Cricetulus griseus: one gene and its partners. The protein of the gene in region 1 interacts with the protein of each later gene in a biochemical or structural test. Links are inferred from orthologs where the notes say so. Each region holds a gene or a part of one and is shown on either strand. Other genes may lie near its edges.

Region 1 (3,932 bases):
TTAAAGGTGTGTGCCACCACGGTGCAGCTAAGTAGCTTAGTTTTTAAAGCTTTCCTTTGATAAAATCAACCATGTCTGATCTCTTAAATACTTGACCCTGATGTGCATTACATGCACTGTACATTACCTGAAGTAATCTGTAATATTTCCTCAGATAACTGAAGATTAGGTATGCCAACTTCAGCTTTCAATGTAACTAGAGAAAGCATCCTCTTTGAGTTGGTGGGCCCATGTATTCAGCACAGAGTAGCATAAATTTGTCTTTATTCAAGGAAGGAAGGAAGCAACACAGAAGGAGGAAGTTGAGAGAGACGAGAGAACAATTAGGGAGGACAACAGGGAAGGAAGACAGAGATAGTGTATGTGTGTCCAATTGTGGTAGGCCTTTTGCTGATGTGACAAATACCTGAGGGAGGGGAACAACTTAAAAGGAACAAAGTGATTGTAGGCTCACAGTTCAGAGATGTCAGTCCGTCGGTAGCTGGCTTACTCCATTGCTGTGGGTCTGTGGTGAGATGGAATACCATGATGGCAAGAGCTTATAGCAGAGCAAAGATACTTACCTCGTGGCAGCCAGGAAACACAGAGAAACCAGGATAAGTTACAGGTTTGAGTCCAGCCATGGTGACATACCAAAAACCAGGCTAGCCAGGGTACAAAGTAAAACCTTGTCTCAAAAAAAAAATCTCTGAAGGACCATTTGACCTATAAAGCAGTTCACCACTTCCTTGCCTCGCCTTTTGGTTTAGTTCTTCTATGATAATCACAGCCACACCCCTTTAAGTCCTTTGTGTTTTCAGTATGGTGTGCCTTTTGCTATATGCAACAAACATTCTCATTGTGAAGTTATATAGACTAACACTATCTAGAACAAGTCTCAGTATCTAAACTGTCCAATTGAATAGTCCGCTGTCTCTTCAGTCATTGAAATATGGCTAGTGAGATGAAGAAACTGAACTATGTCACTACCATTCGTTTAAATGTAAATAGACACATGTAGTTACCCATTCTTTTATCCTTTCTTCCTTCTGCACGGACCCAAGTAAGCTAAGGGCTAGTAAGTTATGTTCATCTTGGGTCACCCTATTAGTTATTTTTCTGTTGTTGTGATAGCTTACAGAAAAAAAGTCTGTTTTGGCTTACAGTTCCAGGGGGTGAGAGTCCCTCATAGCAGGGTAGACATAGCAGCAGGAGCAAGAAGCTGATAGGTCACATTTCCAGCCTCAAACACAAAGCAGAGAGAGCAAACTGGAAATTGGACAAGGCTATGAATCTCAAATTCTGCCCCAAGTGACGTATTTCCTCTAGCAAGGCTCACACTCCCTAAACAGTGGGAGTTTAAACCATCGGGGGACCAAGTGTTCAAATACCTGACTCTATCAGGGCCATTTTTTATTCAAAAAGCATCACCACCACTTCATGTCTTTCCTCCTGGGGCAGTGTGAAATACATCTCACAACACTAAAATATTCACCAAACAACAAACAAGCCAAAGGAAAAATCTGATATGCTGCTGTACATAGATAAATACGGTTTTTAAATTGCTTCTGTGACATTATTGGAAACAGAGGCTATGAGACAATGTAAAGAATCAACGGCTTTTTTTTTTTCTTTTGAGACAAGGTGTCTTGTATCCAAAGCTGGCCTTGGAATTGTAATCCTCCTGTTTGCTACCTCCCAAGTGATGGAATTGCAGCTGTGTGCTATCATACCTGGTTTAACCAGCTTTTAAAAAACAATTGAGGAGCTTGCCTAATATACACAGAAGCCTAGGTCTCAGCACACACACACACACACACACACACACACACACACACACACACACACACACACACACACACAGAGTAATTGAGTTCAGTAACTCCATTGGGAGTGTAACTCATCAATCTAGCCATTTAAACCTCTCATGAATGAAATTTTGCAGATACAACCAGACCTCCAAAGAAAGATGAAGAAAATGGCAAGAATTATTACTTTGTATCTCATGACCAAATGATGCAAGACATCTCAAATAATGAGTACTTGGAGTATGGCAGCCACGAGGATGCAATGTACGGGACAAAACTGGAGACCATTCGGAAAATCCACGAGCAGGGGCTGATTGCAATACTGGACGTGGAGCCTCAGGTAATGTCCAAGCCACCCTGAACCTACTCCATCTTGCCTGCATGCTGATAAGCTCAGATTCTGAAATCCAAAATGTCATCAGAAAGTTTTGGGTCACGGAAACCATTTTCTAAGCCACAGGAAAATTTCAGTTCTCCAGACCGCCTGGGTCAACAGTCTAGGGTGCAAACTGACCAGTCACTGAACTCAGCGCACATAGCATGCATTTGAAAAGCACATGGTTCTCTTCTGCGGCTTATACTCAGGAAGGAGCTCGGTGAAGTACCCATTTGGGTCTGTGCCTGCCAGAATTCCTACACTTCCCCGACCTCAGGATGAGGCTCTGGCAATTTGTTATCATAGCAGCCCCCCTCTGATCTCCTGGTACAGCCCATGCTGGACCAGTAGAGCATCTGCCGATATCTTACATTGATCATTTGTAAGAGACTGATCCTGAGGTCTGGATGTGAAACAGCCATAGCTTTCATGAAAGTAGTTGTGAGTGCTTCCACCCAGGGTTAGGTGAAGCAGGGATTAAGAGCCCAGGTGGCTCTCAGCCTCTGCTATTTCCTTTCCTCGGAGGGGACTCAAAAAGGAGCTAGATACAAAGTTGATTGGTTTCGGGATTTGTAACCAAGTGTTCTGTAGGAAGCAATAGTGATAATAGAACTTGAGAAAGTTGAAGACTTTCATATAGGGATTGACATCACTGTAGCTCAGCAGTAAGGTGGGCACATGCTTAGCATACACAAGCAGAACAGAAATGCTGACAAGCTAATTTTTCATGTCTGAGCATAAGCCAAGTAGAAGTGGGGCTTAAAGCATGAGGAAAAGGACTTGGAGTTGATAGACATCAGAGGAAGTTGCAGAACAGGCTGATGGGGACTCTTAGGACTCAAATGTACCCTTTCCAAGATGGATCTATATCCCACATCTTTCATCACTTACACTAGATACGGAGAAATGTCCCTGGTTGAGCAGGCTCTGCTTCAGCAGAAGGAGACTTATGTACCTGTCCCAGACAGGGAAAAGCCCTGTTGAGGGGTCACTGCATGAGACTTGTTCTCATAGCATATCCCTAAATCAGTAGATTTCATTCTGTGTGACCTGGGCCCTGATGGCTCCATTTCTGGGCTCCAAGAGTCTAACCCATGGCCAACAGCTTCATCCATTTCCATTATAGCACCAAGTGGGGTTCTTGAACTCAAAACTTTGGAAATCACAATAGGATTTGGTTAGGGGCTAGGGAGGAGTACAACCATAGGGTAAACACTGTAGTTACGTAACAGTTAACTTGGACCTATAAAGAACTAAATATGATGATGTGTAACGCAGATTGATCTTTGTTTAACTACTAATCCCTCCTTACTAGGGATTGGAAAAATCTTCTGGCCAGGGGTGGCTAGAGGCAAAGTCTCAATCCTGGTCCTGGTCTTCGACATCCTCTCCTTGGGTTCCACACTGGTCTTCACCTGAACGTCGTTTTCTGCTGGTAGTAATGTCTCTAGCAGTATGCTGGCTGCAGGGCTCCTCAGATCCCTCTGCATTACCTCAGGCCACTTCCAAGGGCTTTCTGCCTTCCCTGCTGCTGCTGCTGCTGCCACCGCCGCCGCCACCACCACCACCACCACCGCTGCTGCCGCTGCTGCTCCACTCATAGCACCCAGCTGTCCCTGTCCCTTGCCCTTGCACAGCCATGCACTGCTCTGCACTGCTGAGCGGGAGACCCATCTCTCAGCCTCATCAGGACGTCCACAGCAGATCCTTTCTCCATTGCACTTGGCCCGGCACCTCCTCCTGCCGGGCACACTGGCCCCTGCTGCCCT
Region 2 (4,729 bases), on another chromosome or scaffold:
CACCGATCCACAGTTTCGAGGGAAGTCTGCCCCCTGAACAGCACTTTGGAAATATTCAAAAGAAACTTCTTCAGAAACACCAGCAGAAACATCGGGGCTCTAACCAAAGCCATGGTAGTCGTCCACCCCTCTTAGAAGTATGGGATCTCTACACCCAGGTAAGAGGAGGCAGAACAAAGGTCAGCATTCCAACCCTGGCTTACTTTCCTCCCTTCTGGATCCAATAAAAGTTGGCCCATGCCATTTTCCCCAAGTTCAGGTTCTAGAGAAAAGGGAATGCACCAATTTCTGGCTCACCAATTTCACATTCCCCAAGCTCAGCTCTCCCAGCATGTCTGTGTATCCCTGCCCACTAAGTACCTCAGGCTGGAGCTGTCTTCCACTCACCTAGCTCATACTTAACTTGCCCTTTCTTCTCCCTCCTGACAGCGGAGCCCATGATGACCAATGACTCAAGAAGAACAGGACAGGACTGGAGAGATGGCTCAGAGGTTAAAAGCACCAACTGCTCTTCCAGAGATCCTGAGTTCGGTTCCCAGCAACCACATGGTGGCTCACAACCATCCATTATAAGATCTGGTGTCCTCTTCTGGTGTGCAGATATACATGGAAGCAGAATGTTGTATACATAATAAATAAATAAAAATCTAAAAAAAAAAAAAAGAACAGGACAGTGGCAATCTGTTTATGGTTCAGACCAGATGGCTCCCAGAGAGCTCCTACTTTAAAATAAAGCCCCACCATGGGAATTTCCCTGCTCCCTTTGACCCACTCTTGTAGGGACAGCCTTCTTGCACCCTCACAAAATCCAAAGGGGTAATAGTTCTAGCAGTAATTCCTTCATGTCTATGTGATGTAGCTATTATCTCCATTGATCCCCAAGGCAAATGCAGGACCAGTATTATTACTCCTGTTTTATAGCTGAAGAGACTGAGCCACTAGCTTAAGGTCACAAGACAGAGAAAAAAGGCAAAGCCAGGATGCCTGCTGAGGTGGCCCATGCTACCATTTCTAACCTCATTTGCACTAACCAAGGCACTCCCCGCCCCCAGGTCTACCTTGATGATTTCAAAGTTTCTGGGTCCATTCCTCCACTCCCCCACCCCCAACGCTATTCCCTAGGAGCCACTGCCCGGGCAAGCATATGCAACAGCACCCCAGGCTCCCTTGAATAGTGGTGCTTGCTCAAAATGCCATTGTCACAACCCATTCAGAAGTAGTATGCCGTAGAACCAATGCAGGAAATTAGGGGAAAAGAAAAGGAAGGGGTTAGAAGGAAGCAACTCCAGGAAGTTATAAGCCTAACAACTGCTGTCACTGATCCAGAAGAAACTGTATACAAAACAGGAATATGGGCGTGGCTAACATTTCTAAGATATGAACGAAAATGAAATAAGTGATGGCTGGGCAAAGGAAGGAAGAGGAGGAATGCAGACGTGGACAAGTAGAAGGAAAACGTGAGAGAGGAAGACCCATGGAAGGATCTTTTTTTAAATAAGACAGCAGTAGCTCATATAGTTCTTGGGCCTGCCTCATGCCTGAGAGGCTGGATCTCCAGGAGTCAGAGGACTCGTTCCATCCCCAGCTTCTACCCCCTTGTAAACTGGAAAAGTCATTTCCTCTCTCAAGACTCATTTCCTTATCTGTACAATGGAGAGGAGTGGGATCACCTATTGTCTAGTCCACCCCAAGAGTTTTTAGTTCTGTAACGACACAAAGGCATGATCTATCCACCTTGGGTGCTTTTCCCAAAATTCACCAAAACGAACTGCCTTTAGAATACACCAATACTGTAATATTTCATCTCCTTTACCCTTGAAACAGATTCATAGAGAACACGGTCCAACAAAACTACCCAATAGTTGTGTATGCCACTCAAGAACCAGACATAGTACACCCAAGTCCCTGGTTTTGGTCCTCGGCTCTGAAGGGTGGTGGCGGGGAAAATCAGACAGATAAATATACAGGTGCTGACACACAATGACCAAGGCACAAACCAACCAACCTCACTCTCGGCCTCATACAAACACACCTCGAGAGAGTCATGCCCCAGCATGCGAGCCTGGTTGTTTCTCAGGAAAGGGAGTCTACAAAGAAACAAAAAAAACTCATTCCGGGCAAGAGGGAGGGCAGAGTTCTGGCTCTGAGGAGATCCAGCCAACCAATAGTCCCAGTCTCCCCCAGGGAATCGTCACTCAGTCAACAACCTTAATTAAAGGACTCCTCGCTATTTATTCAAGAAAGGAATTCTCAATGCTATGATTTGAGAAATTTTTTAGAGATTTCATTTCTTCTTCAGACGCTGAACCCCGGCATTAATCCCAAAAGGTCCACAATGTAACAAGAGCTAGAGACCCCTTCTGCAAAAGCCAGGAAAGGAAACATTCCCTACCCCCACCTCCATTACATTTCCTCCAAGGACACTTGAGCCAAGAGAGTGCGGGTGAGAGGCTCTGGGTCCCCGGAGATGTCGGAGGGGAGAACGACCTCTCAGGTGCATATGGAGGGGAATGGGTAGCTTAAGACTTGGGTGTGGAAGGGGTCCTTGGGCTTCAAGGGAAGACGCAGAACCGTGGACCCTCTCAGTTATTTTTAAGGCTCCCCGCCACAGTGTAGGAGGTGGGGTCACAGATCACCGGCTTGGGGGAGGGGAGCCAGGCAGTCTCCAGGTGGGGGAGGGGAAAGTAGAGTGACCAGATCGGGGCGTAAAAGTGGACTCCTAGGGCGAGGCAAGCGAGCAAGCAGGTTTCTGGACTCCTCCCTTCCCGTTGGCGCGTGGGGTGCGCCTTCGCCAACCTCTGACCCGACCCACCAAATCCTCCAAAAACTCCGAGAACTCACCAAGGACCATGGAAGTGAAGAGAAACAACAGTTTCCTCCCGGCTTTCCCCTCGGTGCCCATTACAGTTACAATTCCCACGCGACGGGCGAGCCACTGGGCTGGGAAGAGCTTCGCGATCCAACGCGCTGGGACTGGACTCCAGCCGCCAGGTTGAGCCCTGCCCGCCTTTCTCTCCACGCCTGGTGGGCGGCGCCCGGCTGTCCCAAGTTCTGATTGGTGAAGAGAGAGGGAGCTCCGACGACTGACTCACCGTACGCAGGTGCAGCCCGAACTTTCCTCCCTCTTGAGGGCGATTGGTGCCATTCTTTCCTAGAGACCTCTGGTTGGCCCAGAAGACAGTCGCTTAAGGAAGCCAAAGCCTCCTTCTCAACAGGTAAAGGGCATCCCGATTGGCAGCAGGGTTTGCAGCTAGAGCCTTTCTGACTGGCCCGGGGCTCTTGATAGTTATCTCTAAGGAGGAGGTGGGGAATGTCACAGGACTCTAAAATGCAGGAATTTGCTTGGTCGATTTTTCCCCCTTTACTTTTTTTTTTTTTTTTTTCTTCAAGACAGGGTTTCTCTGTGGCTTTTGGAGGCTGTCCTGGAACTAGCTCTTGTAGACCAGGCTGGTCTTGAACTCACAGAGATCCACCTGCCTCTGCCTCCCCCCCTTTACTTTTAAGTTGCTTAATGCTGCATAATCCCTCCCCCCACCCCCGCCCCTTGGTAAGTGAAAAACACATTAATATGGGAAGGTATGGGGAGAGGTTTGGGAGAGTATTGTCCTCCTGGTTACATTCTTCCCAAAAGAAACCTAATAGAGATACAGAAAACATTCAGATTTTAAAGCTGACCCACAGTTCCCTGGATGACTAGAGTTATGTCTTTTATACGGATACCATGTGTCAGTAGCTCCTTTGCTGGGCCTTACATTCTGCTTGGCTTTTGTTTTCTTAGACCAAGGCTGGCTTCCATACCTGAGGCTGGCTTCAAACTGTGGATCTTCCTATAAAATGGGCTGTCCCACACCAAAGCACATGCCTGTAATTCCAGCATCCAAGAGGTAGATACAGGAATATTGGGGGTTCAAGGCCAGTCTTAGGTACCTAGAGAGTTGTAGGCAGCCTGGGCTTCAGGAGACCCTGTATGAAAATTAGAAGAAGAGGAGGACGAGAAGGAAAAACAGGAGGAGAAGATGGCAGAGGGAAGGAGATAAAATCAAACCCGTAGTGTCTCTGCCTGAAATCCAGCACTTGTTAAAGACAGAGGCGGGAGAATTAGAGTTTAAGGATATCCTTGACAAGGTAGCAAGTCTGACAATAGCCAGAGTTAAAAGAGACCCCATTTCAAAAATAAAAACCAGGCTGGAGAGATTGCTTAGCAGTAAAGAGTGCCTGCTGGGCTGGGCTTTGTGGCACCTGCTTTTATTCCTGGCAGTAGGGAGGCAGAGGCAGGTGGATAGCTCTGTTGAGTGAAAGGCCAGCCTGATCTACATAGTAAATTGCAGTACAGCCAGAGCTACAAAGCAAGACTTTGTCTCAAAAAGCCACCAACAATAGCAACAATAACAACATGTCTACAAGCATCTACTAGGTGAGATAGGGAAGTGCAAATAAATAAAAACAGCAGTTCTGTTTAAAAAAAAAAAAAAAACCCAACCAACAAAAAATTCTAACTTCAAGGTTGGCAAGCCATAATAGAGTAAACAAGACCCTAGATAACCAAAAAGACGCAACTTTGTACTACTAAATTGAAACAAGTATCTGGGTACCTGCCAGGTTCAAAGTTGTTATTCATTCTGGAACAAATCTAAAGTCCTAAAGAGAAAGACTTCTACGCAGTTTTGGGATTTGTTTGGGATGGTCTCATTTTAGCCCAAACTGTTCTAAAACTCACTATATAGCACAA
Region 3 (3,932 bases), on another chromosome or scaffold:
AAGTGATATTGAAAGAATCAGACAAGAACTGACCAGAAAAGTGAGATGACAGTAGCTCTGACACAAGCCACAAAGGTGAGAATCGCAGGGACATATGGTACCAGTGTTAGCAGACATGAGAAGATTGAACTGGCCAACACTGGGAAGCACCAAGACACAAACAGCAGCACAGCACAAGGCCACACATGCCCGGAAATGATGACATAAATGGAAGGTGGGAGTGGTGTTAGCCTCAGGGTGAATAGTTGAAAATCCCTTTAAGAAGCAAGTAGACCCTTCCCTCCATCATAAACAAAGAGACATACTCTGACCCCAGATTAGAACCACAGGCTTGATTATTGAAAGTAAAGCATGGTACTGTTCAGCGGAGTCTCAGAGACTTCCAAAACAATATAGGCTATTGCTGTTGGTTGTTCCTGGAAGTTTAAGGTAAGTCTCTATTGGTAACGACACCATGAATTCTAGACACAAAACCCAGAGCATTTGAGCTGGATATGACCTGAAAGCCTCGAAATCAGGAGAGGACAGGAGTTCACAGAAGGAAGATGAACAGAAGAACTAATTCCAAGAGGCAAAAGAGGGTTTGGCGGTGAAACAGTGTTAGGATACCATAAAACAGAAACGTTCATGAAAGTGGAACTCCATTGTTAGAAATGAAAAAACTGTTATAAAATGAAGTTGCAGAAGATAGTTATTCATCCAACAGGCATTATTAACTACCCACTTAATGTGAGAACAGACACCATTCATTCTAGAAACATTTCAGTGAAAAAACAAATAACAGTGTTTTCTGTGTTAGGGAGGCCCTTCCCATTCATTATCCCTTTATCTATCTGTTTCCACATTTCATCCATGAAAATATTTTATTTGTAAGACGTGTCTTAAAGCATCTTGGTCCATTGGGGTACTGTAACAAAATGCTTCACAGTGGGTAACTTAAAAAAAAAAAAAACAGCATAAATATGTTAAATGTGTTGGTCACAGCTGTGTAGGCTACGAAGTCAAAGATAAAGGCACCCGAAGATGTGGTAGGTGTTAGTGTTTGCTTTCTGCTTCAAAGCGATACCTTCTTGCTGCATTTTTTATAGAATAAGCAAACAACTTCCCACTGGCCTCTTTTATAAGGTGATAATTACTCAATCCCTTCCTTAAAGTCCCTTCCTCTTAATAGTATTGTGTTGGAGACAATGTTTCCACCTGTGAACTTGGGATACGGGGTATAGCATAAGTAGAAATCATTGTTATTACACACACACACACACACACACACACACACACACACACGCACGCACGCACGCACGCACGCACGCACGCACACACACACACACACACGGGAGAGGGGTATTAGGAGCTTAGAAACAGCTCCATGATGGAAAGACAACAGAGAAGGGTGCCACTGATGCTGGCATGATAGTGTGTGAAGAGAAGTGTAGATGGGCCTCGGTGTAGGCTGTTTGAGGCTGAGACTGGCAGGAAGGTCAGAGCCTGAAGAGAGGTTATGGCAGGAAATACTGTGGTTTCTGATGTACAAGACAGTCAGTCGTCTCATTTATGATAATATAAGCAGAGGCTGGAATGGATCTGCGTCTTTCTCCAACTTCTAAAGTGCTCACTTGAGGGCATCTTCTCCTTGACACATCTCTTCCCCTCAGTTTCTCCCCACTCCTAATTGGGTGATTCATGTTTAGAATCATTTTGGAACATGGGGTGGGGTCTTGAAAGCCCTTAATTGAAACTTATTATTCTTCATTGAGATTTTGTTCTTATTAAGAAAATGATTCATTGAAAATAAAATGACTCATTGTAGTAACAAATCAAGTAACAAATGTCAAACTTGGATGGATAATTAGGTAGGCCAGTATGAAAGTGCCATGTATTTTTGGAGCCGTCATTATTAATGACTCATAATATTTTGCACATACAGTTTGCCTCTAAGCATATATCACACCTGTGAATGATACATTTTCACACACCCCATAATGACATTTTGGCTAGTGATAGACTGAATATACAATGATAATCCCCCAGTGTTATATCAGGAACTGAAAAATTCCTATCAACTGATGACACCATATAAATAATAATGTTATAGTTCAGCCCATTACTCATGTTCATGGTGACATGAGTGTACACAAACATGCCAGTCATATACAAGTGCAGCAATCTACTTGGCTATAGTAATCCTTGGTAATAAACAGCAAGTTTGTATTTACTGTAGTATATCCGTAATCATGAGTTCACAGTGTACTCCTATTTATAAAAATGTATATTACACTCCCTGAAGGAGGAGGTCAGTTTGGAGGTCTGGACAATCTATGGGGCCACTGGTGGTGGATCAGTGTTTACCCCTGGTACACAGATGAACTTTGGGAGCCCTCTCCACACAGAGGGATGCTCTCTCAGCCTAGACACCCTGGGGAGGGTCTAGGCCCTGCTCCAAATGATGTGACAGACTTTGGGGATCCCCATGGAAGGCCTCACCCTCACTCTCTGGGGAACAGAAAGGGATGGGGATGGGGGGGTTGGTGAGGGGGCGGGGAGAAGGGGAGGGAGAGGGAACTGAGATTGACATGTAAAACAAGCCTGTTTCTAATTTGAATAAAAAAAAAGAGAAAAAAGTTTTTTTTTAAAGTATATTATAAAAACAGTCTGTGGTTGCACAAACAGCGGTCATCTATATTCACACTCACCAAATCTCTTAATTACACTGTTTTCTCTTTTCTTGGTTCCTTTTGGATCTGCCAGTAATCAAATCTAGGATCTTACAGCTAAATCCACTGGACCACATCCCAGCCTTCTCATGCTTGATGTGTTTCTGTGTCAGGGATATTATATATTTACACATGCAGCTAGTGTGTACTGAACCTTTTCTCTTGGTTAAAGCACAGACGCGGTGATGTTTCCACAATGAAATCAACACCATTGCTCAGCAACCCCATTGTTCAGTGACACGTTACTCTGTGTGCACATTCGAGAGAAAAATTATCAACTTCACCTTGAAGATTCTGGACTCGGTGTAGTAAATTCCCAGATCCAGAAATGGGTTGACTGGGGCCTTTTTGAGACATGGTTTCTCTGTAGCTTTGGAATCTGTCCTGGAACTCACTCTGTAGACCAGGCTGGCCTTGAACTCAGAGATCTGCCTGCCTCTGCCTCCTGAGTGCTAGGATTAAAGGCATGGGCCTTTTTAAAAAATGCCAAATACTATATATTTCAGATGTATTCTGCTATTTCTGCACAGGTATACATGTTCTGAAGCTAAAGGAGACAGCTAGTAATATTAAAAAGTCAGCTCTGGCCTTGCGTGGCCTAATAATGTACATGTATGTGTCGTGAGTCACATGCTCAGTTCATCTTCACTTTTTTCCTAGGAGCTGATGAAGACGTAGAGAGTCCAGAGCTGACAACATCCCGACCAGTTCCAAAGATCTCGTTCACTAGTGCTGTTCCCAAAGTGGAAACCATGACACTGAAGACACAGAGCATTACGCCTGCTCAGACCAAGGTGCACTTGCTTGGCGTTGCGTTAGCATGTACTTGTGAATATTGCTTTCTTTTGACTTCACAGAATAGTCCGCTTGAAATTATGTAGGGGCAAACAGCCCTTCCATTCTATTGCTGTAAATGGCTCTTTGCTTTTTAGCAACATCTTACGGTTGACCTGCTTACTATTCTTATCATGTAGGCCTAACTTCCTTATGAATATACTGTTTTTAACATGACACTCTCTCTTGTGGAGCTTCTTTTGCCCAGTTATGAAGCAAACTCTAATTTAGCTTAAGTCAGATTTTTTTTCCCTTGTGTCAAAAAACATGGTGAACTTTAGTTCTACAGGAACAGGGTAAGGAACTCAGGCTCCAGGTCCTATCTTAAGGTCTCAGTGAGTGTCTAGGTCCACCACCATTGCTGCACAAACATGCTCCACTCTCAGA
Region 4 (3,932 bases), on another chromosome or scaffold:
GGAGAGGGTGGAAGAGTAACCACAATCAATTAGATACATATATGGAAGTGTCAAAGAAGAATAGTGAGGTTATATAAAAGAAGTATCAGAGTAATAGATAAATAATAGGTTCAATAAAACTAATTTTTGTTCTTTGGTGAAATAAAAGGGTGGGCCACAAAAACTCATGTTGAGTTTCTTCTAGATCCCATGGAGACTTGTTTCAGATTTCTTGAAGAAGACCAAATAATGATGATGTTTCAGCAGCCTGAATCTCTATGTACTGTTGGGTAGCCCCAAAGATAATAACTTTTTTTTTCATGGAGCTTCCCTATAGCTCTGCTTACATTTTCAGTCAAATATCATGGCAGGCAGCTTAGTGTGAACATGGTTCTGAAGCATTATCAGAGAGCTACAGGCAGAAGGAAAGAGAGACCCTGAGCCTGGCATGGGCTTTTGAAACTTCAAAGCCCATTCCCAGTGACACACTTCCCCTGACAAGGCCACGCCTATCTTTCTAATCCTTTCCAACAATCAGTCTTTGGTGACTAACCATTCAATGATATGAGCCTATGGGGCCATTATTCAAACCACCACACACTATGCATAAATGCTGACCAATATGTGCAATGTAATGTTTATACAAGCATTTATATACCCCACATGCTATTCACACAAATAAACACATAGACCACATAGTAGCACACACATACCATGTATTATTCACACATACATACGTCACATACAATAATTCATAAAGACATGCACATAATATATACATATATGAGCATGCATTAACATAGCAATTATTACATACAAGCACCTATACTCCATATTCCATGCACAAAACAATATTCCACATGCTTATATGCAACATACTATAGTTATATACAAACACACAAACATATATCCCACAAATATTCACTCACATTAACAAACACAGTCCATCTATTATGTGCTCAGACAAACACAGACACACAGACACACACAGACACACACAGACACACACACACACACACACACACACACACACACACACACACACACACACACTTTTTAAGCTTTGGTTATAACATCACAGTGGTCCTTTCATTGTTCTCAGAAATTGGTGCTTTAGAAAAAAGGTGTAGAATGCAAAGCATCCAAATTATATTCCTATTATTTGTATTTTAAAAAGTAAAATGTTAGTTCAATATTGGCCCCAGATATATCTATTTGGTACTCAAAACACAGAGCACCAAATAGGAGGGGCTCATTACTAAGGCAATGTTAACTACAAAGCATGTTGAAACTAGAAAGGACTTTGAATAGCTGAACTATTTTATAAAGTATAAGGCATCTACAAATATATCCTGTTTTAACACATTATTTGTGGGCAACCACAGAATAAATTTTGTATCAAAATCTGCACACACACTGAAAACATTAAGAAAAATCATGAAACAGAACATTTTGCCACCATCCCTACAAAGTTAACATTTTATAAGAAATTTGCTCAGGACCTTATTAGTTGTTGTTTCAGTGAAATTCACTCAGCTCCCTAGAGACTCCCTTCCTTCTCATACCCACACCCTGCATATATATTATATAATACTATACATACATGTACACATACATGTATATATAATTGGAGGGGAGACACAGGGATAATAATGTCATCAAGATCCTTAAAATATGATGATAAGATGAAAACAGAAGACCATCCTGTGGTCTCCCCATCATAGCAGGCTAAGAAACTGTCAGCCTCTTTACTGGCATTGCTTGCTACACTTTGAACTAGATGTCCATCTATTTCGTATTGGGTCTAATACTCCAGGAAGTTCCATCAGGATCCATGCACCCACAAAATAAGGCTGGGATGCTAGCCGTCATGTTTGGTAAAACCTCCATCACTCCCTGGATATTTGTAGAACCACCTCTTTGTCAGTAGCCTCACATAGATGCTTGTTTGTTTGTAGGGGAATCTGAGTTTCTCTTGCGTGGAGCCCTACACAGTACCAGTCTTCTTCAATGCTACAAGCTACCTGGAGGTGCCTGGCAGACCGAATCAGGACCTGTTCTCAGTCAGTTTCCATTTCAGGACTTGGAACCCCAGTGGTCTCCTGCTATTCAGTCACTTTGCAGAGAACTTAGGCAACGTGGAGATTGACCTTGTGGAGAGCAAAGTGGGCGTCCACATCAACACCACACAGACCAAGACAAGCCAAATTGACATCTCCTCAGGTCAGTGATATTGGCTTGACATTTGCTTCTGAGACTGCTATTGAAAGTTCCATAGCTGAGGCTATTTGCACCCCCTTCTCCTCTCTCTCTGGTTCACTCTATTTTTTATTGGCACTACAGGCTAATAAATATATTTTGGAATTTTAAAAACTTTTCATTAATTGCACGATATTCTGCTTAAGAGAAATTCAGACTTTAGGGTGTGGGCAAGGAAGAAAGTTGATTGACTTTGAATACACCATGTGAATATTCTAATCATTTTAGATGCAATATGATATATAGTAGAAAAATATTATTCCTCAGCAAGCACAGTTTATATGTAAAACTCAAATAATGTTTGTAGTGACATGACGGTGTTTGGTGTATTTTGACTTCAAAAGCATTCAAATAGCTTTGCTAGTTATAATATTATACTAATTTAATTATCAGGTTAAAGTAATGGTTAATTGCCTCAATCAAAACTCCAAAGTGTCACTCCTAGACCTTTGCCAGTTGTTAGGAAAAAGTAAGCCAGAGGTAAATACAAAACAGAATAGCAAAGTATATGCGTCAACTGAGGGAAGGTAGGCTTGATTGCATTTATCAGTGTTTTAAATGGACATTGTTATGATGTCATAAGATGAAGCTTAGGGTAAACTATAAATCAAGACTTAAGAGTCCTGGAATATCCTTGGATTTATATGGTATTAGAAAAGATGACATTGCAAAGTGAGATGTTATTAACCAAGGAAAAATAGGATACAAGTTGGAATAATGATAAATTACATTTTTAAAAAGTTTCTGTAGTTACTCCTTGAATTAGGAACATCAGTTACATGATACCGTGGTATACAAAACATCAACCAAAAATAGAGTTAGATGACTTTGTCTTAGCTAATGATTTTACGGTACACCCCGAGATGGCAACAGGTGCATGAATCAGATGGCTACATTGCATTTGGGGCACAGAGAAAACAGTGACATTTAACTTGCAAATAATAATTCCGATAATAGGTTGGAGACAAGAAAGTAGCATTTACTGAGCACTTAGTACAGATAAGCCAATTACAAGGCAAGGAGGTCATGACAGATAAACCAGGTGTGCAAATCCCTCTGCATTTTGGAACAGGAAATGATCATTCTGTAAGTATTTCCAAATACCTGACACCCTTTCTAGCACACTTAATTGCTCCATTCATCTCTCCTGTCTTCATGCCTGCTCTAGGCTTCAAGCTTCTACGGGGTTGAAGCCATACATAGTCTTCCTGTACCTTCAGCCTTCATATCTTCCAGAAGGGATGTTCCAGGGACAGTTCTGAAGTTCAGGACTTACTCCTTGAACTAGCTCTTAGTCAGATACTCTGCTAAAGGAGCCTATCTCCTCATACAATGGGCTCTGTGCATCTGTAATGTCAACCTCTATGGACGTCACCTGTTGACCTGATAACTGTTCTGAAGGGTTGCTTGTGGATTGTCTAAATGCCAAGACACCCCTGACTGTATTCTAATTTTATATTATTTTTTTTTATTTTTTCTGCATGTTCAGTTAAAATTATTAATAAACCATTTTTTATCATTTTCTTCTCTGGTAGCAGCTTGGGAGATTCAGAGTAAACAGGAAATATCTAGAGGCCCAGAGTAAGATAAAACAAATATACATAAATGATTTATACAGTTGAAAAGCAATCTACTGCCAGGATTAAAAGCTCTTTTCTAATGTCTAAACACATAAAAGTGTTAGCATGTACTCC
Region 5 (4,706 bases), on another chromosome or scaffold:
CCTCTTGGCGATGATTATTTCAAGTGCATTTTTGTCTCAGCAGTATTATGAAATACATATTTTATTTGTGTTGTAGTTGGATGTCCACAAGTCAAAAATCAGATAATTCACAAGTAAACACTCCCAGTGTTTAGATGCTGAGGCAAAAATCAGGCCAGAACATTTTAATTTTTGATTTTGTTTCTTTAAAAATCTCAGACTCTAACCTTGGAACACTCAGCCCTAAATGGGATATCCATCAGATCCCTCCCCTGAGGCCTCAGGAAACCCTGCAGAAGAGGAGGCAGAAAGAGTGTAAGAGCCAGAGGGGAAGGAGGACACCATGAAAACAAAGTGCTCTAAATCAACATGAGCAAAACTCATATGAACTCACAGAGACTGAGGCAGCTTGCACAGGGCCTGCATGGTCTCACCAGGTTCTCTGCATGTAGATTAATTATGGCTTTTAGACTAGTGCATCCCTGGGCGTGTTTCTTGCGCCTTCCTTCTCTTGGGTTCTTTTCTGTTTGTTTTTGTCCAATTCCAATGTATTAATTTTTGTTTTATTATATTTTATTACTATTCCTTGGAAGCATGGTTGTTTTCTAATAAGAGACAGAAATGGAGTGGATCCAGAGAGAAGGGCATGTGGAGAGAAAGTAGGAGTAGTAGATGGAGGGAAAACAGTAATCAGGATATAATGTCTGGGGGTAAAAAAAAAAAAAAAAAACTATTTTCTTGTCTTTTTTTGTTTTGTTTTTGTTTTTGTTTGTTTGGTTTTGGGTTTCTTGAGCCATGATTGTCCTGGAACTTGCTCTGAGACCAGGCTGACCTCGAACTCAGAGATCAGTGCCGCCACTGCTTGGCTAAAAAGAAAATTCTATTTTTAATAAAAGGAAAAATAATTCAAACTCTATTTTACTTGCTTTGGCTAAATAGGGTTCAGGTATTTAAGTGTTGGCCCTTTAAAACCCACCACATTTTCATGTTGGACACAAAATTCTCACACCAAAAGCTTGGAAGGGGAAGGCACATAGCCTGGAAAACTCTCAAAGCCCCCAGAGAGCTAAAGACATAGGCATTTCTCTCAGTGAGCTCTTGGTGAATAGGATACCTTTGCTTCAGTGACTTTGGGTTCCTGTCAGATATTTTGCTTAGCAGACAAGGAAATCTAAAGGACAGTCATTTAGTTTAGACAGTCCACTTGTCATTTCTGTAGCACACACACATAAAAGCCTTCAGAAACACAAAACACTACAACACACACTGAACACATCCTGAGTGGGAAATAGGTAAAGCAATAGCTCCCTTTGTCCTCAAGGACTTTGTCTATAATTATGGCACATCGGAGGCATTGTGATACATGTGTCTGACACACATGCCTCCTAGGGGAAGCAGTTGCTCCCCATTCCTTGGTAGGGCTTTTGCTGTAATTATGACATATCAAGGAATTGTGACATATGCCTATGACATTCATGTACCTCATAGATGTCTGTGACTCTATGGCTACCCTAGAGACTTCAGTCAACAGAGCTAGGTCTTGTCCAGCTCTTGAAGGGCTTGCTGAGGTGGGACACCTCGGACTACTGTGGGACTTTGCACCTTTCTGCATCTGTACTTTGATTCCGAGGAGCCACGTTTTCATCTCCTCTTCAAAATGAATCTTGAAAAGTTAACTGTAACTCGGCCAAAAGCTACAGAGACAGGAGGAAGAGGGAGAGAAGGAAAAGGAGGAAAAAGAGGAGAAGATGAAGGTAGCAGAGGAGGGGGAAGAGAAGAAGGAAAAAGAGAAGAAAAAGAAAGAGATAAAGGAGGAAGAGAAGAAAGAGATGGAGGAGAAAGTGAAGAAGGAGGAGAGAGAGAAATAGAAGACTGGGAAGAGGGAGAAGAAAGGCTCATGGAAGCCAAGGAGGTCAGTCAGTGGTCCTTGGTCACACATAAGAAGCATATTAGCTCCCGCAGATTGGCCTTGGTTTCCCCGGACCTGGTGCCTGAGCCGTCACTGATATTGCTGCTGCCAGAAGGTAGGGATGTGGGGGGGGCGCTGGAGGGCGCGGGGAGTGAGCGCCAGGAGAAGGAGGCGCGGGCGGCATGCAAGGCGCGCAGGAGGAAGGAGCGCACGGGGCGGGCTTGGGGCGTGGAGAGCAGGGACTGGGGCTGGGCTAGGCAGTGCTGGCTTTTAACCTGGGCTACGGAGGCGGGGGAGGAAGGCAGAGAGAAGGGGAGGCGTGTGGGACCCAGTTGGTTAGGGGGGAATTGGAAGCAAATGACATCACCGCAGGTCCGACAAAAGGGGAATCGCTAAAAACATTGACTGGGTCCTGGATATTCAGAGGTCGAGTCCAACCTGAACGTGTCCAGACACAGACCTCAGTGCACCACGGAGACATCATGCAGAAGTCGCCTTTGGAGAAAGCCAGCTTTATCTCCAAACTCTTTTTCAGGTGAGAGGGTGCCAGGGGATCTTTGCAGGTGTGCCCATGCCAAAGAAGGGAATGCATATGGGCAGTCTTTGGGAAAACAGGAAGAGATTTTTTTGTTGTTTTCGTTTTGTTTTTAAAGGTGTGTTGTCATTCATTGTTTTAAAGGAAATGTGGATTTTATAGAATAAATTGAAGCTGATTAGATGGAGAACAAAATGTACTTGCAACTGAGAATCAGACTTGCAACACCTAAATATTTGCAGGGCAACAGTTTTCTTAATTTTTTTTCCTGAAAAATTTGTAAGATTTTCTTAATTAAAAATCCTTAAGGTTGGTTCATTGTTTTTCCCCAGGAAGCTTGTCTGCAGGTGTCATACCTGTATGTAGTAGGTGTTCAGAAAACATTTGCTGACTGAATTTTTTTGAGGAAGTATATAGTACTTTTTGCTATTGTAATATTAAGTCTGACATGCTCACCAAAAAGTAATGTAACCATAGTTACATTACTTTTTAAGAATGTGAGCAAGTCAGTTAAAATATTTATCTTTAAGCAGCAGAAATATCAAAAGCAAAGAATTTAGGAAAGCAGTAACCATGGGATATGAAGCTGGGGTTCTAGCTACTGAAGCTATATCCAACTGACACTTGGGACATTGTTCTCTTATCCTGCATTGCACAGCATGAGCCAAAACCTCAATAGAAAAGGATTTTAAAATTAGATTTTAAGTTGGGAGACCTAGGCAAGACTAATTAAGCACTTTGTATTTGACATGCTCTATGGCGCGGCTATTCTGTTCCTCTAGTGTGGATGAACGAAAAGAACAGCTCTCTCATGGGAGCTCACTTGACTCACAGCTCCTCAGGGAATCTAAACTTTAGCAAACTAAAGGACCAGAGTGTTGCATAGATTGTAAATGTGCCCTGTGGTGTGGGCAGGAGGCAAAGCTCAGCTTTCAGTCTTCTTGCCTTTGCCGCCGCCGGTGGGTCTAGAGCTCAGGACTAAGAGGACAAGTGCCTCTGTGGGAGAGCTCCTCCCAGTGGATGGGAGACAAGGTCTTTACCCTTTGGAGTTACCTTTGGTATTCACAGTGCTTTTGTTACTTCATCCATAAATTCAGCTTATCAGCCGGGATCTATTTTCCTACTACTCACAGCAACAGAGTGTTAATTGTCATAAACTGCACACTTTTATGAGATCATTTTGAGGAACCTACATGTCAGTGCCTCACGTTCTCATGAGAATGTCTCTTGTGTATTTTCCCCACTAAAGTATTAAGAAACTTAGATTGTTCATTTATCAGTGTTTCAAAAATCTCCCCTCTTATTATACAGCTCATTTATTTTAGTGTACCTTCCAAATGCTCTTAGGTTGATTTGGAAAGGAAAAATATTATAATGGCTGTGAAATTTGTTAAGCACATACTCATTTCTGTCCTTCAAACGATTTCATAATCAGTTGCTTTAAGAATAGGTGTGTTTTTAAGAGTTAAGTTCTTACTATTTATAGGCTCTGACATTCAGCTACAGTACCAGTCAGTGATTAGAAACTTCTTTCTGAACTATCCTTTTCAAAGATGAAAACCCTTTTTTTCCCATTGGACTAGGCATTTCTGCCTAGTGTCGAGGACAGTGGGCTCTGGGTTCCTATTGCCTGGTTTCAGGATTGCTTAATGGGCAAGTCCTTTCACATTTCTGTGTGACCTGACTTTTAAAACTTAGAGGCTGTCAATGTGCATATGACATAGTGGGTTAATCTGCTGAGTAGTTATGTCCTGGGCTTACTGAGGAAATGCTAGCTGCTATGGTTATTTTCTACATTTTATGTAAGACAATGAGTTTATTTCTGTTGGTTATAATTTTTGACTATCAACCTTTTTTTATGTGATGTGTATGTGTATTATATATTTGAGAAATTAATGTAAGGGATAGTCTCATCTAATATGGACTTACTAGATATTTAGGGGAAATCCATATGCTCAGATCTCCATAGATGCCTTAGAGTTTGAGTTTCTGAGTACTATCCCATCAGTTTTAGGGTATAAAAGACTAAAAAAACCTGAAGGCCATGTTTCCAATATTAGGGTCTGGGTTATGAATTATATTAAGTATCAGTTTAATTATCTAGGTTATATCACTAAAACCAAAACAAGCTTAATAAAAATATATTTTTGCAAGTGTTTACAGGAAGGAAAAGTTTGGAAGTCATTGGAAGTATTCTAACACAGAAGACAATTTTACCATGAAAATTTCAAGTATTTTGTGACTTTCACGGAAAATAGTACATTAACTAGAAGATGTTATAAA
Region 6 (4,360 bases), on another chromosome or scaffold:
AAGCGCTCTTGGTCTTCTTCTAGGCTTTGTTTCTTCTTGCACACAAGTCTTTGTTTATTTGTTCAAGACAGGCTCTTGTTTGCTGTGTAGTTATAGCTGGCCTGGCTCCCACTGTGTAGCCCAGGCTGGCTTCAAATTCCTAACAGTCCTTCTGTCTCAGCCTTCTGCTTGCTAGGATTACAGGTATACTCACCATGCCTGGTTAGGTACTGGAGCATTTTTGAAGCTCTATTAATAGGTTGGGGAACCGTAATAATCCCCTTCTTCCCCTATACAGTACTCTATAACCTGTGAGGTTGTGTTAGCCTGCCTTTCATAAGCATGTAAACATGAGTGAGTATGTCTGCTGAGGTAGGTGTGGGAATGTATCCGTCAATGAAGATGTGTTGTGTGAGCCAGCTGATGGTGCATGTTTGTACTTGAAAGCCATAAGGTTCCATGCAAAAGCTATGGGTGGCACTGTTGCACAATGCTGGTGGGTGTGTGGCACGGGGGTGTGATTAACAGTTTATAGGCTGTGTCTAAGTGTGTACGGATGTCTCAGTGTGTACGCGCTAGGATGGAAATGTGTGACATAGTATGATACAGGGATAGGGAAGCACATAGTCTCTGGAATGGGTCTGATCTGACTTGCCCCTGAATCCTGGCTGTCATTAACCAGATGGGTAACCTTGAGCAAGTCGCTCAATCTTTAATTTCCTCAACCATGAAACCAGGACAGTAATGAGTACCTTTTTGAGACTGCCACCAGGGCTAAAAACGATATTGTAGATGCAAAGATTTGGGTGTTCAGCCACACACAGGCGAGCAGCCATTCTATGCCCTGTGGACATGCCTTTGGTTGGGTACACAAGCAAGAGAGAGCAAGATGTGACCTGGGTCTGAGGGTGAGGAGGCACCTATGTGTGTGGGCACCCTGAGCAATTGCCTCGTCTTTGACAGTGAACTCCCAGTTCAGACTGGGTCAGTAGGGCAGATGCCCACAGCCTCCTGAGGTTTCGTGGTCCTGAGTCTAAATCAGTATGAGAATGAGAGGCCTGGAGGAGCTGCAGGAAACAGAATGGCTTGCAGACACTTCCTTTATTTCCCCTCCACGCAGCAACGGTTGAAGACCGCTGCCCACATCCATTCCCACCTCCACCCACACCCACGCCTGCTCTGCTCCCCTTTCAACAAGTAAGAACCAGCGCTGGGAGAAAGCCAAGAGGGCAGAGGATTCCCCCTACCCTTCCCCATTCCCCCTTAAGACGGACCAAGAAGCATCATTCCGCCGCGCCTTGCTCTCGGGCTACCTTAAGAGCTGAGCAATGCTTTGGCCTCCCGCCAAACCCCACCCCCGCCGGCTCGCGCTCCGCCCCTTTCTCCTCCCGCCCTGCTGGGGGAGAGCTGGGGAGCCCCAGTCTGGCCAGAGTTGGCTGGAGCTGTTGCCATGACAAGCATTTTCTTAAGACAGCTCTTCTGTTGAGACCGTCCTAGGCTGGGGGTGGGGTGGGAGTACGAACTTCCTGGGGGACCATCCCTCCGAAGACGGCGAGGTCAGACACCCGCCCAGCTCCCTGCACCCATTTTCTTCCAGGAAGGTCCTTCGCGTGGAAGGGCTGGGGAAGAAGACTCAGTCCACTCCCCCAGCTGTGGCCAGAGAGCAAAGCCAGCATCACTAGGTGGTTTGCCACACTGGGGAGAGCGGTGGGTGGTCACCCCACCCTACTCGGTCCATGGAAACGCTGAGGGAGAGTCCCGCTTGGAGACACCTGAATCTTTGCTAGAAAGAGAGGTAGGTTTGCAGAGAATGAATTGACTCTGGGATTTGCAAACTTTGTTTCTTTCTTTCCTCTCAATAGCTTCTCAAAGTATCCGAATTTCCTCATGCTAGCAAATTCTGGGAGGGTGGGGTGGTGGAATAGGAGACAGAGGTGGGGGGAGAAAATGAGAATGTCTTCAACACTGTATTCTTCCCTGGGTTCTGAAGAACCATCTAATCAAACAAGTGATCCCTTTGCGTTTTCCTCTGGATCATGGGATGGGTGGGGAAATGGAGGGACTGCCTTTTTCTCACCCAAATTAAGCTCTCGGAACAAGTATTTATTCCAGCCGACCCCCATCCGCTCCTGCTCTCCCCCTCCCCCTCGGCTTGGGAACCAGCCGCAGAATGGAAAACTGTTGCGGAAAAAAAATATTTTCCGCGTCTGTTCCCTTTCTCGAAAGCCCCAAAGAGAGATGGGAAAAATAGGACCAAATAAATCTTCAGCGGGAAGGAAGGCCTTAGCGCCAAGGAGGGAGCTCACGGGGGGGGGGGGGGCGCATAAGGTGGAGATAGGCTAGGAGAAGTTGGAGGGTGAGAACCAGGAGTGCACAAATTAAATTTCTTTGGCTTTGCATAGAAACCTCAGCAGTTTCTCTCTGCGGCTTACAAAACATCCTCAGACTTTGACGTCTATAATTAGCTGTGGAAAAAGCTGGGAGTTCCCTCTCACTGCTGTTGTTTGAGTGAGCGTAAGCGTCCAGAACCAACTGTATGAGTGTCTCTAAGGGCACCGCCCCACGCATCTCTGATTCTATAGGGAAGGAAAGAGAAGGGGCACACTGAAAAGTTTTCAGTTTCAAGCCCCAGGCTGTGAGGTGGCCGGCTTGGGCCTCTGGCATCTTGAGAGGGTCCCTGAACAGATCGCTTTAGAGATAGACACTAAGGCTGGAGTTGCTCCCTCTTTCTCCTCTCTCCCTGTTTTGGTAGTGCGGGCCGGCTGGCGTCTTTCCTTGAGATGAGTCCAGCCTATACTCTGGTCCACCTCTAGAAGAATGCCTACTTGCTTCTCTCCAGCCGCGTGGGGAGATGGGAGGAGGGGCCCAGCAAATCCTGCGAGCAGGGAGAGCGCGCCCTGGCCGGAGGCATCTTCTTCCAGGGTACTCCTGCAGGACGCACAATGCCCTCCGGATCTGATGCTGGCCAGGTGGGCTGGTCGGGTGTCAGGTGAAGAAGTCAGGCGGCTGCTGTGACGCTGAGAAGGAAAGAGAAGTGGGGAGGGAGGGAAAACGAATTCCCGTTCTGCAGGCCATCTTTTCCTCCAGTTGGGGTGTGTGGCAGGGAGTCTTCAGATTCACTCCTTCCATGCTTGACACCCCCACCCACCCACATGAACTCCCCTTGTTCCTGGCTCTTCCCACTTAAGAGACCCTTTCCTATAGCACCCCCCTGGTCTGGGATCTCCTTATCTGGAAGGGAGGAGACCAGGGTTATTTCGGGCTGGGACCAGCATGGCAAGGGGCCTAGGGGAGAGAAGAATTTCAAAACAGGAGGACCCTATAATGTGGGCTATGAGAAAAGCCTTGCTGAGAACCTGAGGAAGAAATAGAAGGAGAGGTTAAAAGGTAGCCAGGGAAGCCACCAGAGCGAGCTTTCATTTGCAGGTGTTTGGTAATGGATCAGACCCTTTGGCCACTCTACCCCACCTGTGGTCTGATCCCAACAAGAATTGGTGCCCTTCTTCTATCGGAAGGGGAGGCGGGAATCCCGGGGGAGGGACCAATTCTGGTGGATAAGGATGGCTGCTGCCTGAGGTGTCTGCTTAGCGCGCACTAGGGTGCCTGTTCTAATGGCCATGTGTCCTGGGTCTTGGGCAGCTGGGGAGACCGCTTTTCAGCCCAGCTGTACCCCCACCTCTCCGAGCCGTGAGAACTGCAGGGTTGGGAATACTGCAGCAGAAGCTGGATCCCTCCCGTCTAGCAGCGTCTGTGACCTGCCCTATTGTCAGCCTCTCAGCAGCCCGGCTCCACCCTCTGGCATGGCTCTGCCCTAGTCTGAGTACTCAGAGGAGAACGGACTTAGATGTGGTAGAGGCTTCTAGCCTTCCGGTCCCTGCCGGTGCCTCTGCCCCTTCACTTCTGTTTTCCATCTCCGTGTCCCTGAATCCTTGGTTCCAAGGTCAAGTTGAAGGGACTTAGTTTGCCTCATCCCCGAGACTCCCAGCTTCTAGCACAGTGCCAGGACAAATAGAGGCACTCTGTCAACACTTCCAAGATGAAAGGGGGCAATTTAATTAAAAAAAAAAACATTTATTGGGGACCACATCTGGAGGTCAGGGAACAATTTATTCTCTCTTTCCACCATTTGGGTTCATGGGGACCAAACTCAGGCCATCAGATACTTCAAGGCAGGAGTCCTTACCCACAGATCCATCTTGCTAGTCCCCAGGGGTGGAGTAATAGCACCTGGGAATCACTTGCATGGGGAGGTGCAGGAAGGGGCCCCTAGTTTGCCCTCTGGTCTATAGCCCCTCCTCGCTCTGGGAACCCTGCTCACCACAGAAACGGTGGGAGGGAGTGGCTGAGTCAGGTTTGTCACATTGCTGTAGTCTTTGATGTC
Region 7 (3,932 bases), on another chromosome or scaffold:
GGGGCAAACTCCCTAGGCAGGCTCATGGGCTAAGACTAGGGGCTGTGAGGGGAACCTGAAGTCAGGAGGGTATGCCTTCTCTATTCGTGGCAAGCACCTCTATAGCACTGTCTTTCACTCATGTGGATTGCAGATGAGCTGGTGTCGAACATGCTTGCCACATGCATGCACACAGGTCCCACTGCACATGCTGGCCTGTGCTGATGGCTGACAACCCTCCTCTGGTGGCTTCTGCACACAGTGGCTTTTGCTCATATGAGGAGATGCCTATATTTGGGCTTCTGGGCTGATGCTGACCCTTTGGGTTGCACACCAGCTCTGCTCTCCCATCTGTCCATGGGAGAGGCGATGCTGGCTATGCAGAGCCTGCCCCCTCAGGGCCCTGGATCTACTGGCAGGCAGGGCTGTACTCATCTGCCCCACCCTGCCATTCAGTCAGCAGCTCAGGGATCCTCCCAGGAGCACATCTGGGTCTCATGGACCTCACCTCACTCTGTCACCTGCATGACTGAAGGTGCTGAGTGCGGCTGCAAGAGTGGTGTCAGCTGGGAGCGTGGGACGATTGGGCAGTTCTTGGTGGATACGGCATATTTGCACATTCCTGGTATGGCTGTGTGGTGAATGTGTAACATGTGCGTGATCATGCATCTGCTGTGGGTGGGGAAACATTGTGAGGGTCATCCAGAGAGTGCCTGTGTTTTGTATAGCTGGAAGCAGCATGCAGGGTGTGCAGTGTGTGTACATGTATTTTATGTGGCATTGTGTGTGTGTCTGTGTCTGGTGTATGGGTGCGTCTCCTCAGGACAATGCCTGTGGCCATCTGATTAGGCAAAGAAGTACTTTATTATACTTGAAACTGTCCAGATGATAGGAATCCCAAGTATGTTTGCATGTGTTAACCTGTGCGTATCCTAGTGTTTGGTTGTCAGGAGCTGGCCTCAGTTCCCACCAAGGCTGTGCCTAGACTGTCTGCAATACTGACATTTTAGGCCTGTCTGTTTGTCCTTCTGTCTGTCTGTGCCCCACAGGCTCATCTTCTAATAGTTCCAAGTAGGTGGTCATGGTGTGAGCAGCCAGCTTGGGCTGCCCCTCTCTGTCCCCCTCTCTATAGGCTAACCTGGCTGTGTGGCTGTCCATGATCGGTCTGGCTCAGTATTACAAGGTGCTGGTGGACAATGGCTATGAGAACATTGATTTCATCACTGATATCACTTGGGAGGATCTTCAGGAGATTGGCATCACCAAGCTGGGTAAGGTTCCAGCCTGCCCCTCCATATCTGCCTATACCCAAAGGTCCTCCTGACCAGCCTCTTCCCCGTCCCCAACTCAGGACACCAGAAGAAGCTGATGCTGGCTGTGAGGAAACTGGCGGAGCTGCAAAAGGCAGAATATTCCAAGTATGAGGGGGGACCCCTGCGCCGAAAGGCACCCCAATCACTTGAAATGATGGCTATTGAGTCACCACCCCCACCTGAGCCTGCTGCAGCAGATTGCCAGTCTCCTAAGATGACCACCTTCCAGGACAGTGAACTCAGTGGTGAGCTGCAGGCTGCCCTGTCTGGCCCAGCTGAAGCAGGTGCAGCTGCTCCTGAGAAGTCCTCCAACCACCTGCCACCCACTCCGAGGGCCACCTTGCGACAGGAGTCCAGCCTGGGTGGACGGGCTCGGCACATGAGCAGCTCTCAGGAGCTGCTGGGTGACGGCCCCCAAGGGCCTGGCAGCCCCATGTCACGAAGTCAGGAATACCTGCTGGATGAGGGACCAGCCCCTGGCACACCACCCAAGGAGGTGCGGTCTGGCCGCCATGGCCACAGTGTCAAGAGGGCCAGTGTGCCTCCGGTGCCTGGCAAGCCACGGCAGGTCCTTCCATCAGGGGCCAGCCACTTCACACCCCCACAGACACCCACCAAAGCTCAGCCAGGTTCCCCTCAGGCTCTTGGAGGACCTCACGGTCCAGCCACAGCCAAGGTGAAGCCCACCCCACAGCTTCTGCCACCAACAGACCGACCCATGTCGCCCCGTTCCCTGCCTCAGTCACCCACACACCGTGGCTTTGCCTATGTGCTGCCCCAACCAGTTGAGGGTGAGGCAGGGCCAGCTGCTCCAGGACCTGCACTCCCACCAGTACCAGCAGCTGTCCCCACACTATGCCTGCCCCCAGAAGCTGATGTGGAGCCTGGGCGACCCAAGAAACGTGCCCACAGCCTGAACCGCTATGCAGCATCTGACAGCGAGCCGGAGCGGGATGAGCTGCTGGTGCCCGCTGCTGCTGGACCCTATGCCACAGTCCAGCGGCGCGTGGGTAGGAGCCATTCAGTGAGGGCTCCTGCTGGCACTGACAAGAATGTTAACCGCAGCCAGTCCTTTGCTGTGCGGCCACGTAAGAAGGGGCCCCCACCACCTCCACCCAAGCGCTCCAGCTCAGCCATGGCCAGTGCCAACTTAGCTGATGAGCCGACTCCAGATGCTGAGACAGAGGATGGCCGGCTGGGGGTCCGGGCACAGCGCCGGCGGGCTAGTGATCTGACCGGCAGTGTGGACACAGGCAGTGCTGGCAGCGTGAAGAGCATTGCAGCCATGTTGGAGCTGTCTTCCATTGGGGGCGGGGGGCGTGCTATCCGCAGGCCCCCTGAAGGTCACCCCACCCCTCGGCCTGCCAGTCCAGAACCGGGTCGGGTAGCTACTGTGTTGGCCTCTGTGAAGCACAAAGAGGCCATTGGGCCCGATGGGGAAGTGGTGAACCGGCGCCGCACACTCAGTGGCCCAGTCACGGGGCTTTTGGCCACTGCTCGCCGGGGACCTGGGGAACCAGCTGAGCAGAGTCATTTTATGGAGGACAGCACAGCCCGACAACGGCCTCGAGGTCCAGCCAAGGGGGAGGCAGCTGTGGAGGGCCCTCCCCTTGCCCGGGTAGAGGCCAGTGCCACACTCAAGAGGCGCATCCGGGCCAAACAGAGCCAGCAGGAGAATGTCAAGTTCATCCTGACGGAATCTGACACAGTCAAGCGCAGGCCAAAGGCTAAAGATCGTGACACTGGGCCTGAGCCACACCCACCACTGTCTGTGTATCAGAATGGCACAGCCACGGTTCGCCGACGGCCAGCCTCAGAGCAGGCTGGGCCCCCAGAGCTGCCCCCTCCTCCTCCACCCGCTGAGCCCCCACCTGCTGACCTCATGCAGCTGCCTCCACTGCCCCTGCCTGATGGCAATGCCCGGAAGCCTGTGAAGCCACCTGTCTCTCCCAAGCCCATTCTGGCTCAGCCTGTGACTAAGATCCAGGGCTCACCTACACCTGCCTCCAAGAAGGTGCCACTGCCAGGCCCTGGCAGCCCAGGTAGGTACAAAGAGCCAGCTAAGAAAGAACACAGGATCTCGGGACAGATCCCTTGCCTGCTACCCTGTCTTATAGTGTGATTTCCCTTTCTGGGTTTGATGAAGCCCAGGTAGTGTGGGATAAGACTGTCTACAGATCTCCCTATCTATCCTCTGTGAGACGACTCTGCCACCCTATAGTGGACATGCCTCTTGTCCAGTGCAGAAGACCCAGAGTAGTGGCGCAGATGCAGGGAGACCTAGCTGGAGTTCCCTGACACAGAGAGGGTAGCTGTCCAGAGAGGACAGCAGTGCCAAGGTGCTGAGAGAACCATTGTGGCTGGATACATCAGGCCATATCTGAAGGAGTTTAGGGAGCATGACGTGCTAGGGAATTGCATACCCTAGCGGCTGTGGTGAGAATAGGGCCGAGTACAGCATCTCTCCTGCTAGATGGAGGGAACGCTGTTTTTATTCTATGGGTTGTTCTCTACCCTGCAGAAGTAAAGCGCGCTCATGGCACGCCACCGCCTGTGTCACCCAAGCCTCCGCCGCCACCCACAGCACCCAAGCCAGCTAAGGCTGTGGCGGGACTACAGTCCAGCAGCGCCACCACCTCG

The links.
Region 2: the proteins of Cask (region 1) and F11r form a complex in vitro, tested with the Homo sapiens proteins (2 studies listed by BioGRID and IntAct, with this or other methods). The link is inferred for Cricetulus griseus from reciprocal best matches to the Homo sapiens genes CASK and F11R.
Region 3: the proteins of Cask (region 1) and Sdc2 form a complex in vitro, tested with the Homo sapiens proteins (2 studies listed by BioGRID and IntAct, with this or other methods). The link is inferred for Cricetulus griseus from reciprocal best matches to the Homo sapiens genes CASK and SDC2.
Region 4: the proteins of Cask (region 1) and Cntnap2 form a complex in vitro, tested with the Homo sapiens proteins (2 studies listed by BioGRID and IntAct, with this or other methods). The link is inferred for Cricetulus griseus from reciprocal best matches to the Homo sapiens genes CASK and CNTNAP2.
Region 5: the proteins of Cask (region 1) and Cftr interact in a test that uses a peptide from one of them, tested with the Homo sapiens proteins (2 studies listed by IntAct, with this or other methods). The link is inferred for Cricetulus griseus from reciprocal best matches to the Homo sapiens genes CASK and CFTR.
Region 6: the proteins of Cask (region 1) and Atp2b4 form a complex in vitro, tested with the Homo sapiens proteins (2 studies listed by BioGRID and IntAct, with this or other methods). The link is inferred for Cricetulus griseus from reciprocal best matches to the Homo sapiens genes CASK and ATP2B4.
Region 7: the proteins of Cask (region 1) and Caskin1 interact in a biophysical measurement, tested with the Homo sapiens proteins (2 studies listed by IntAct, with this or other methods). The link is inferred for Cricetulus griseus from reciprocal best matches to the Homo sapiens genes CASK and CASKIN1.

The regions. Positions count from the first base shown.
Region 1 is NC_048604.1:119,094,166-119,098,097, reverse strand, and holds part of Cask (peripheral plasma membrane protein CASK), read left to right. Parts: intron 1-1,924; coding exon 1,925-2,127; intron 2,128-3,932. UniProt on the Homo sapiens protein: Multidomain scaffolding Mg(2+)-independent protein kinase that catalyzes the phosphotransfer from ATP to proteins such as NRXN1, and plays a role in synaptic transmembrane protein anchoring and ion channel trafficking.
Region 2 is NC_048598.1:21,463,498-21,468,226, forward strand, and holds the start of F11r (junctional adhesion molecule A), read right to left. Parts: upstream 2,903-4,729; coding exon 2,842-2,902; intron 1-2,841. UniProt on the Homo sapiens protein: Seems to play a role in epithelial tight junction formation. Appears early in primordial forms of cell junctions and recruits PARD3.
Region 3 is NC_048603.1:17,529,108-17,533,039, reverse strand, and holds part of Sdc2 (syndecan-2), read left to right. Parts: intron 1-3,371; coding exon 3,372-3,505; intron 3,506-3,932. UniProt on the Homo sapiens protein: Cell surface proteoglycan which regulates dendritic arbor morphogenesis.
Region 4 is NW_023276806.1:223,807,475-223,811,406, reverse strand, and holds part of Cntnap2 (contactin-associated protein-like 2), read left to right. Parts: intron 1-1,937; coding exon 1,938-2,202; intron 2,203-3,932. UniProt on the Homo sapiens protein: Required for gap junction formation. Required, with CNTNAP1, for radial and longitudinal organization of myelinated axons.
Region 5 is NW_023276806.1:208,423,418-208,428,123, reverse strand, and holds the start of Cftr (cystic fibrosis transmembrane conductance regulator), read left to right. Parts: upstream 1-1,876; coding exon 1,877-2,219; intron 2,220-2,314; coding exon 2,315-2,423; intron 2,424-4,706. UniProt on the Homo sapiens protein: Epithelial ion channel that plays an important role in the regulation of epithelial ion and water transport and fluid homeostasis. Mediates the transport of chloride ions across the cell membrane.
Region 6 is NC_048598.1:55,393,639-55,397,998, forward strand, and holds the start of Atp2b4 (plasma membrane calcium-transporting ATPase 4), read left to right. Parts: upstream 1-1,398; 5' UTR 1,399-1,774; intron 1,775-4,360. UniProt on the Homo sapiens protein: Calcium/calmodulin-regulated and magnesium-dependent enzyme that catalyzes the hydrolysis of ATP coupled with the transport of calcium out of the cell. By regulating sperm cell calcium homeostasis, may play a role in sperm motility.
Region 7 is NC_048600.1:44,087,491-44,091,422, forward strand, and holds part of Caskin1 (caskin-1), read left to right. Parts: intron 1-1,111; coding exon 1,112-1,250; intron 1,251-1,330; coding exon 1,331-3,334; intron 3,335-3,813; coding exon 3,814-3,932.